Linked DNA regions of Caenorhabditis elegans. The protein of the gene in region 1 purifies or fractionates together with the protein of each later gene. This does not show direct contact. Each region holds a gene or a part of one and is shown on either strand. Other genes may lie near its edges.

Region 1 (4,051 bases):
TATTGAAAAAACTGAAAATGGAATGATAAAAGTAGGACTGAAATGTGCATTTTTTATTCAAGAAACAAAAATGAAAGAAAAGCAACAATTTTAATTGTTTTTCTAACGGCTGTTATACTGTTCGATCATCTTTTCCAACCCGAGCAAAAAAGATGAAGTTTGTCCCCAGTCAAATATTGGCGGCGGAAGCTCAAAATTTTGTTGATGCCCATTATGTTCCGTCATTATCGTTGCAGTCCAAAACTTATGATTTTTATGTTCCTCTTTAAATAATCAAACATTTCAACAAAAAAACATTTACTAAATGTGCTCACTGAAATAAATCTCGAACTGATTGGAATGCGTATCAATGAAGGCACGCACATTGAAATTTTTTGGAAGGGACATACTATGCAGTCTATCGGTATCATGCACATATCCAATAATGAGCAATGGCTGAAAAACTTTAAAAAGGAAAAGCAATAAGTACATTCTAACTCACTTTTTGCTGGACAGCCATGATGAAAAAAATAAAAATAGGAATTTCTGTTATCACTGAGACTTTGAAATTATCTATATGTTTTGTGTTTAAAAATTGAAAACAAGCTTACTAAAATACAATTTTTTTTAACTTCTGAATTAGAAATATCGCCAAAAACCCACAAAAGGAGTTAATCATCTATTCCTCTGCTTCTTCAAAAACTCATCAAACTCCCCGATCATTTTTTCCAATCGTTCCAAAAAAACTGCATCCCGTATTATCCGTCCACCTCGATTAATTCGAAGATTGTAGGGAAATTGACTATAATACCCATTCTCAGTAGGTTTCCACTTTATCCTAGCTTTCCATTTGTGAGAAGATTCGTCTTCACTCAATCGCTCTTAATTACTCTATTTTTTAACTTCAATCAGTGCAAAACTGTGCAACTTACGAAAATAAATATCAAACTGGTGTGACTGCTTTTCTATGAACTCGTAAAGATTAAAATTATAAGGAATCGACATATCATTCCCGACCATACAGTATTCAATTATGAGCATTGGCTGTAAAAATGTTGAAATTAGAGACGGCTTACGTAATTTCCAGAACTGAACATTTTTAATTTCCAGAAACTAATTTCCAGAACTATTTCCAGAACTGAACATCGAATTTCCAGAACTGAACATCGAAACTGATCAAATATTTTATAATTGACGAACGCTCTTCACTATAGGCCTGGGAGTACAGCTTCCACTGGGCTTTAATTTAAGCCATTTCCAAGGTATCATTTAGGTGGAATCAGGTACACTGCCTGGTGGTGCCCCCGTTGGGATATAATTTAAGCCACCTAGCCTGGGACTGTGGCCTATAGTCTAGTCGTGGATTGCTCCACTTCCAAATAGAGGTTGAGTGAACTAAGGGGGTGAAGCCGGGCTTGAACCCGCAACCTCGAGCTTTCTAGCGGCCACCACTACCAACTGAGCTTGTCCTATGAATTTGAAAACTACATTATTTTATCGAAACTCACCTTCTGTTGAGCAGCAAGAATTTGAAGCAGCTGTGAATCATTTTCAATAAACCGAAGTTTTATCTTTGGAGCTTGAACAGGCTCAATCTTTAAACTACACAACTCAATTAGTTCATCGAGCAAATAGAATTGAGCTTCTGCTAGCAGCTCCTTCACTGTGAGTTCACAACTGGGTAGAACCACGTCACCATCTCGCATGAAGTTCAGTATCAAGTCAAAATGTTTCGGGGAACGATCAATAAAAATACTCCCAGATTCGTCGATTTTTAGCTGAAAATTTGAAAGTTCAACGGGAAAAAAAAATCAGGAAAATCAAACCCCAATGTCACTCTCCAGCATAATTTTTAAAAATCCATTGAACTTTGTTAATGTAGATTTTGAAGTTTTGAATATAGTTCCACCAACGTCCAGTTGTACAGTTTCACTCATTTTCGAAGAGTTTTCGAGAAGAGAAAGAGAGAAAAAATGGAGTAACAGTTTGTTATCAGTTATAAGATTATCGTGAGCTTAGGGAGAAAACTGACAAAACGCCAAACTTTCAAATTTTAAAAAATAGTTGAGGGTCATTTTGAAAACACCTTAAGCTCCATAACTCGGCGAGTTTTGATGGAATTAATTTGAAATTTTACACGGAAGCTTCTTAGTGGCCTATACGTCTCTGTGTTAAATTTCGCTTTGATCGGCCAACGGGAACCCTTTGAAAAATGAAAAAAAACGCTGTAATCCTAACCCTAAATAGCGTCAGTGGGGGAGCTCCCGCTCTCCCACTGACGCCAAGCCTGAGCCAAAGCCTAAGCCTAAGCCTAGGCCTAAACCTAGATCTAAGGCTAGTCCTAATCCTGCGCCTAAGCCCAAACTTATGCCAAAACATAAGTCTAAGCCTAAGCCTAATCCTACACGAAAGCCTAAGCCTAAACCTAAGCCTAAATCTAAAACTAATCCTAAGCCTAAGCTTAAGCCTAAACCTAAGCCTAAACCCCTAAGCCTAGGAAAATATTTTTTTATTACAAGAACACTAAAATCTGAGAATGAGTACTGCACAACATATTTGACGCGCAAAATATCTCGTAGCGAAAATTACAGTAATTCTCTAAATGACTACTGTAGCGATTGTGTCGATTTACGGGCTCGATTTTTTCTTTACATTTTTTTTTTTGTTTTTTTTTTTTCAATATTTTACCGGTAAAATATTGATTTTAATTCATTTAGAAAATTGAGTTCGTAAATCGACATAAGCGCTACAGTAGTTATTCAAAGAATTACTGTAGTTTTCGCTGCGAGATATTTTGCGCGTCAAATATGTTGTGCAGTACGCATTCTCAGAATTTCGAGTTTACGTAATATAGCAGTTCATTAGGGCGCACTTGAGTCCTTCCAAGAAGTAAAATACACAGAATCCGGTGAAAAATGAAATTATTTATTAAACCAATTTCTGTTGCATTTTTAATGCAAAAAAAGGAGTTACTCGTAATTTATTACAAATTTTTGACACGTTCATTATAGATTATATAAATTATCTAGAAAAATTTCTTGAATTTCGTGTAGATTGCGGCGATGGCGATGAAAGGAGTGATGAAGACGACTTTTCTGACGGTTTTGGCAAGGTAGGTGGCGGTTGCTGGAAATGTTGAGGGTTTTTTTAAATATAAAAATCGATAAAAAATTAATATTTACCAAAAATTGTGAAAATTTGTGGCATCTTCTTCGCCAGAGCCCATTTTTTCGACGATTTTCGGGATTCTGGCTCGGTTTTTGGCGATTTAAATATGCTCAGCCATCCTCTGGATTTTAAATCTGAATTTTCGGCGGAAAGATTCAGGTTTTGCATTTTTAAATCGGAATTTTCCTTCGATAGATCTTTCAGTGATTTTTTGAGTTTTGCAGTCTCAGATTCCGCGTATAATTTTCGTTTTTCCACAATTTCATCGACACCGGCGCGCATTTTGGAAGCCTGAAATTAATTTTTAAATATTTACAAAACTTTTAAGTGAAAACCAAATAAATACCGCATTTTTCACGCCTTTCATCGAATCTTCTGCGCTCGGAACTGTTTTTGCCACTGTTTTTATTGAGTCGTAGCACTTTTTCCACATAATTTTCGCTGACATTTTGTGGTCTGAAATTTTAAATTATTAATAAAGAAAAAAGAAGAAAAATCGCAAGAAAAGTGAAAAAAAAAATGGAGAAAATAAACCTTAAATAAATGAAAATAAGCAAAAATAAGCAAACGCGCTCCACCGCACATCATACAATAAAAACCGCGGGAAGCTTTAAATTTCAAATAAATATCAGTTTTTTTCGTTGGTTTTTCTATTTTTTCAGTTATAATTCAGCAAAAAATGTTGAATGAATAAAAAAAACCTGTGAAATCTGGAATTTTTGAAGAATTTTCACAAAAATTTTGAATTTTAAGAGAAAAATAGCTTTTTTAAACAATTTAAATTTAAAATAAAATTTGAAAACATGAGGGTTTTCAAACATAAAAATGTTAAGGAGGTACTCAAAATTTCGAATTTCCCGCCGTTTCATTTACTATTTTCACGCGGTGTCAGATTGTCCCATAG
Region 2 (5,954 bases), on another chromosome or scaffold:
GATGGTGAAAAACTCTAAAATCCTACAAAACTAATATAATATAACAGTAAAATGAAAAAATTGAGTCTAGAAAAAAAAAAGAAATTCGAAGAGATCCGGTCGCACAGAAAAAAATCAGAAAAAAAATATTAGTGAAATTTGGTTTTTTTTCTGGCATTTTATTATTTTTTTAATTGGATTTTCTAAATTTTTATGCACTTTGTCACAGAAAATGCTCCATGTAGTCAAAAATTTCACATTTTCACATTGAAAAATCATTTTTTTTACTGCGACAAAGCTATTCAAAGTTTAGAAAAGTCTATTTTTTCAAAAATTGAGAGAAAAAATTTGAAACTTCAGAAAAAAGAGCAAAACATGTGCAATTTCCCCATTTTTTCGCCAGAATTTCAAAAATAAAATTTCACAAATTATTCATCATTTTTCTTCTTTTCCTCGTCCTTCTTCTTCTTCTCACTCTCCTTATTCCAATTTTCGAGACCTTTCGGAAGTTCAACATTTTCATCGAGTCCTCCGGTACCTGAGACCATTTCCTCGTACGTATTCTTCTCAACAAATGGTCTTTTTCCAACAAGTTCAATCATATCTTCACGATTAAGAATCTCTTTTTCAAGAAGTCTCAATGCGACTCGTTCAATATCACTTCTCTTTTCCAATAATAGATCACGGGTTCGGCGAAGTGCGTTCATTACGAGATCTCGGACCTGGAAATGTTAAAATTTTTAATATTCTAAATTTTCTACATTTTTTTTTCTACATTTCGAAACGCCAAAAAAAAAACGTTCTAGAAAATTTTTTGAAATTAGTGTTTTCATGAATTTTAAAAACATTTTTCAGAAAAAACATTTTCCAGGACCAGAAAATTTTGAAATTTTATTTGAACGCATCATTTTTTGAGAAATTTAAAAACTGTAGTTTTTCTCTAGCAACTAAAAATGAATTGAATTTTTGAAAAATTTATTCCGGCAATTTTGAAAATTTTGTATTTTTTAATCGAATATAGTTTTGGGTGATTTTTTAAATTGGATTTTTCGGTTAAAGTCAAATTTTCGCGCAAACGATTTTTTCCGGCAAATCAGCAATTTTCTGGAAGTTAAAATTTCCGGCAAATTGGCAAATTGTCGGAATTGAGAATTTCCGGCAATTTGGCAAATTGGCAAATTGACGGAATTGAAAATTTCCGGCAAATCGGCAAATTGCCGGAATTGAAAATTTCCGGCAAATCGGCAAATTACCGGAATCTAAAATTTCCGGCAAATCGGCAAATTGCTGAACACTATAATTTCCGGCAAATCGGCAAATTACCGGAATTGAAAATTTCCAGAAAACTGGCAAATTGCCGGAATTTAAAATTTTTGCCAAACGGCAAATTGCCGGAATTGAACATTTCCGGCAAATCGGCAATTTACCGGAATTGAAAATTTCCGGCAAACCGGAAAATTGCCGGAATTGACAATTTCCGGAAAATTGGCAAACTGCTGAAAATTAAAATTTCCGGCAAATCGACAGATTACCGGAAATTAAATTTCCGGCAAATAGGCAAATTGCCGGAATTAAAAATTTCCGGTAAATCGGCAAGTCCGCCCACAGATTATAAATTAATTTTGAATTAAAATTTTCAAAATATTGCCATTTTTCTGAAAACTATCAGAAAATATCATTTTTCTTCGATTTTTTCCAATTTTTTCGTAGAAAAAAACTAATTTTCTACCAAAATCCTACCTCCTGATCAATGAGCTGTGCGGTGGCCTCCGAGTACGGTTTATCAAATGCCATTTCTCCCGGAGCTGGTGTCTCAAACGACAACGGTCCGACCTTTTCGCTCATTCCAAACTTGACGACCTGCAAGGAAAAAGGTCTTTGTATTATTGTGTGCAGCAATTGTGCAATGTAATGTATACTACAATAGTAGTATGAATAATAATAATAATAATAATGATACATCCGTAATTTCACACTGCCCGACACCACTGACTGACTCATTCTCTTCCCGCACACTGCCTGGTACCGAATCTTACTATATAAGGAATCCCGACGAACGTTCTAATATCAACCATCTCAACAAACTATGAAGATCATACTTCTTATTCTCATCGCTGCCTGCGTCTCCTCTGATGCTACAAATGATTCGAAGAATGCCGTTCTAGGAGCATCTACATCAACTCAATTGGCCAGTATTATGAATTCACTGCACAATCTTCAAGGAGGGTGAGGTTTTTCTGACTTACAAGGGATAAATCTTTAAATTAAATCTCGGATTTTGATATGGCATAGTAATTAGTAATTTTTTTCGATAAAAGAGTGTTACTGATCAAGGGTGGGAAAACTTTTTCAAAGTCAAGAAATCAATCAATCGAGAATTCTTGATTTTAAATGTCAAGAAAAAATCAAGAAATCAAGAAAAATCAAGAAATTTCATTCGGCTAATATTTTTGAACGAAATTGAAAGAAATAGTTCAATTTTTCAGTCTTAACTTTTTTTTAAACGAATATCAACAGAAGGAACTTCAAAAATTGACAAAACGTGCAAAATTATTCATTTTTCGATAAAGATGTTGTCAATCTTTTTGAATTTCTTTCTGCAATCCTCATTCTTTCAACTGAAATCGGGTTTTATGATGTTTTTTGAGTTATTTTATTCTGAAAATTACAAAAATTGGAAAATAATTCAGCCTAAATTTCGAATTAAAAATTTCTTGAGGAGGGATTCTTGACAAAATGTCAAGAAATCAATCAATCAAGAATGCCCACCCCTGGTGTCGACTTTTCGATTTTTTTCAGAAAATCGAAAAATCGGAAAAGTTTTTTTTTCGATTTTTCAAAAATTAGCTTAATATTTTGGGTTTAGAAGAAATTTCAAGGTTTTTTCTTATCAATATAAGCAAAATTAGATAAAAAATCATATTTTATGGTTAATTTTTGGAACATTTTTTTCGATTTTTCGATTTACCAGAGAATCGAAAAATCGAAAATTTTCGTTTTTCGGTTTCCAATTTTTCGATTTTTCGAATTTCACCGAAAAATCGAAAAGATCGAAAAATGACACCCTTGTTACTGATGACTGCTCCGAGAAATTCAGCTGTACATCTTCACCAATTTCGTTTTGATCTACGAGAATTGCGGGAGAAGAGACGCAGAGTTCTTAACTGATTTCGCATGGCTAAGACTGTGCTGACGTCACATTTATCTGGGAGAAAAATTCCCGCATTTCTTGTAGATCAAGTCGTAATGGGACAGCCTGGCACCACGTGCAGCTTCGGCCAGGTTATTATTTTTTTAATGCCAAAAAACACATTTTAAATATTTAGAAAAAAAAAGTTGTTTTTTTTCAAAAGCTCAAAACAGTAAAAAATACCCTAAACTATACGAGTTTTAGCTCATAACAATCAAGAAAATCAACGTTTTGGAATTTTTTCATGGTATGTAGGACTTTTTTTGGCTTTTTGCACTTTTTCAATAAAAAAATGGAAAAATGGAAAATTTTTTCGGCGGCACATCTGGTTAGGATCGATACTTAAAAAAAAAAATTTTCCGAAAAAAACGTTTTTTTTTCAGAAAATCGGCATTTTGCTTAAAAAATTTTTTTTTAATCGAAATTGATTCAGAAAATTTTTAAAGGGATGAATAAAATAATATTCTCCAAAAATTCCCAAAAATTTAATGGGGTTATTCAAGTAATGTAGCAAAATGTATTAAAATACATTTGTGACGTCAAAAATGTATTTAAATACATGTTTTTTATATACTTGAATAAGGTTGTGACGTAATTTTTCTACACTTTTTAATTTTCCGACACTACTTGAATAACCCCATAAGGAAAAAGGCAAATTTTAAGCAAAAAGTGATTTTTTGAGTGATTTTAAGACATTCATGGTAAAGCAGAAAAGTTCGGTGCATCTATTCACGATAATTTTCTTAATTTCCACCTTTTTACAGCGGTCCAAACGCACAACAGACATACACAGGAGCCCAGTATAATAGGCTGGTGGAAAAGTTTAAAAAGGTGCGGTAATCTCAAATCACCTCGAAAAAATTAGGACACCTTTTTTCAGGAGGTTGACAAAGCAGATGAGCTCGAAGCGGAAAAAAGACAATTAGAAGCAGAAATGGTCAGTTTGAAACGTAATTTCGATAGCCAGTCTGCAGAACTTGTGAAGAGTCAAAATCAAGTTCTGAAACTCGATTTAAACGTGATGAGATTGGAGGCTAAACTAACATCCTCGGACGCGAATCTTGATAGAGCAAAGGACGAAGTTGAGACAGCCAACAGACGTCAGAAAAGAGCAGAAGATGACGCCAAAGATGCTCGTGATGAACTTGAAAAGGAAAAGAACGCCAATAGGGCAAACAAAGCCCTTGTGGATGAATTGCGAAACGCTGCTGCACAGACGACAAACGAAATGAGAAGTCTCCGAAACCGCCTGGATGAATGCAATAATCAGAGAAATGGACAGACGACAACCACAACACAAGATGGTTATCCGTTTGTGTCGAATCAGCAGAATCAGCCAAGAGCATCAAATACTAATCAAGGATTGGACAGAGTTGACGTCATTTTTGTGGTGAGTGCATTTTACTATTTGAAAAATTGCAATTTTCGCGTTTTTTTTCCTCAAAAGGTCACAATCTCCACACAGTTTTGTATACAAAATTTTGTAGCGAAAAAATTCTAGAAATAGCCATTAAATGGGCGGAGTCTGATTCGTTTTGAAGATTTCTCTTTACATGTTTTTTAAAGAGCTCCGGCCATTTTTTGAAACAAATTCAGTTCGAGATGAAAATGCTAGATACCAATAAATGGGCGGGGCCTCTTGGTGGATTTGCTTCCAAGGAGTCATAAGTATCGTTTTTGAGATTTCTCTTTTAAATGCCTTCTTGTACATTTTTGGCCAACAAATTTGCCCGTTTTTCAAAATTGAAACGAAAACATTTCGAAAAGGCCAATAAATGGGCGGGGTCTCTTGGGAAATCTATTTCCACGGAATGAAATCTCCGAAAAACCAAATTTTCGCCTATTTTCTGCCAAAATTGCTTCCTTCCAACTGTTCCTCCTTAAAAATACCTAGTTTTGTAGCGAAAAAACCCCGAAAAAGTCAATAAATGGGCGGGGTCTTTCGGGAAATCTATTTCCACGGAATCTAGTATCCGAAAATCTCAAATTTCAGCCAAATACCAACGGCGACCAAGGAAGCATCCAATTCGGAAATGGCTCGCCAAATAATGGTCGTGGTGGTGGACAATACGTAACTCCACAGCATCTGCTCAACCTGCTTCAGCGTCATTAAGCTATTTATTCGAGTGCCTACATTCTTTGTTTTTCAATCTAATTTATTTGTCCTATTCTTTTCATCTTATTCTTTTTCTGTTTTCTTCTAAATAAATGGTTTCAATCGGGAAAGCAGCTCACACATGTCTTCTGGTATTTGCCTGAACTCTCCATTTTTCACACACTATTTCTCCTTGGCTCTCCTCCCGCCGAAACAAAAACATAATCGACTTCATATGTCAGATAAAGCTGCTCTCTCAGAGCTCTTCAGTCAAACATTCCCCCATCCATTCAATCATGAAATTTCAACTGATTCTTCTTCTTCTTCTTCTCCAAATTCTGATTATTTTCACGGCTCTCAGCGGCTCGGCTCCAGTCAAATGCACATGCAACGTGGATCCGGACACTGGCATTGCGTCGACGATTTGTGAAGGATTGACAGAGGCTCTCGACAAGAAATCGCCGGTTTTAGATTAAATTCGAATACTTTTTGCAACTTTTGCTCCGTCTCAATAAAGCTGTAAAATAAAATAAACCAAACCTGTGAATATGCCATTTGTGTAACTTTCTGTAGATCATCTTGTGCTCCAGTTGTGATTCGTCCGAAGAAGATCTCCTCGGCGACGCGACCTCCGAGTGTCATGCACATTCTGAAAAATTTTTAAAAATTTTGAAAAATATCGAAAAATTA

What was found.
Region 2: the proteins of F22E5.8 (region 1) and Y47G6A.15 fractionate together in Caenorhabditis elegans (co-fractionation; one large-scale study listed by BioGRID). This does not show direct contact.

The regions. Positions count from the first base shown.
Region 1 is NC_003280.10:2,637,946-2,641,996, reverse strand, and holds F22E5.8 (BTB domain-containing protein), read right to left. Parts: upstream 1,960-4,051; 5' UTR 1,917-1,959; coding exon 1,806-1,916; intron 1,758-1,805; coding exon 1,488-1,757; intron 1,024-1,487; coding exon 912-1,023; intron 861-911; coding exon 655-860; 3' UTR 589-654; downstream 1-588. Other genes in the region: F22E5.23 (uncharacterized protein), read right to left, coding at 103-263, 315-435, 482-499; F22E5.9 (uncharacterized protein), read right to left, coding at 3,005-3,105, 3,162-3,438, 3,494-3,595.
Region 2 is NC_003279.8:3,472,403-3,478,356, reverse strand, and holds Y47G6A.15 (DUF148 domain-containing protein), read left to right. Parts: upstream 1-2,056; 5' UTR 2,057-2,065; coding exon 2,066-2,205; intron 2,206-3,933; coding exon 3,934-4,000; intron 4,001-4,049; coding exon 4,050-4,559; intron 4,560-5,162; coding exon 5,163-5,282; 3' UTR 5,283-5,392; downstream 5,393-5,954. Other genes in the region: AFG3-like protein spg-7, read right to left, coding at 408-701, 1,720-1,839, 5,805-5,913.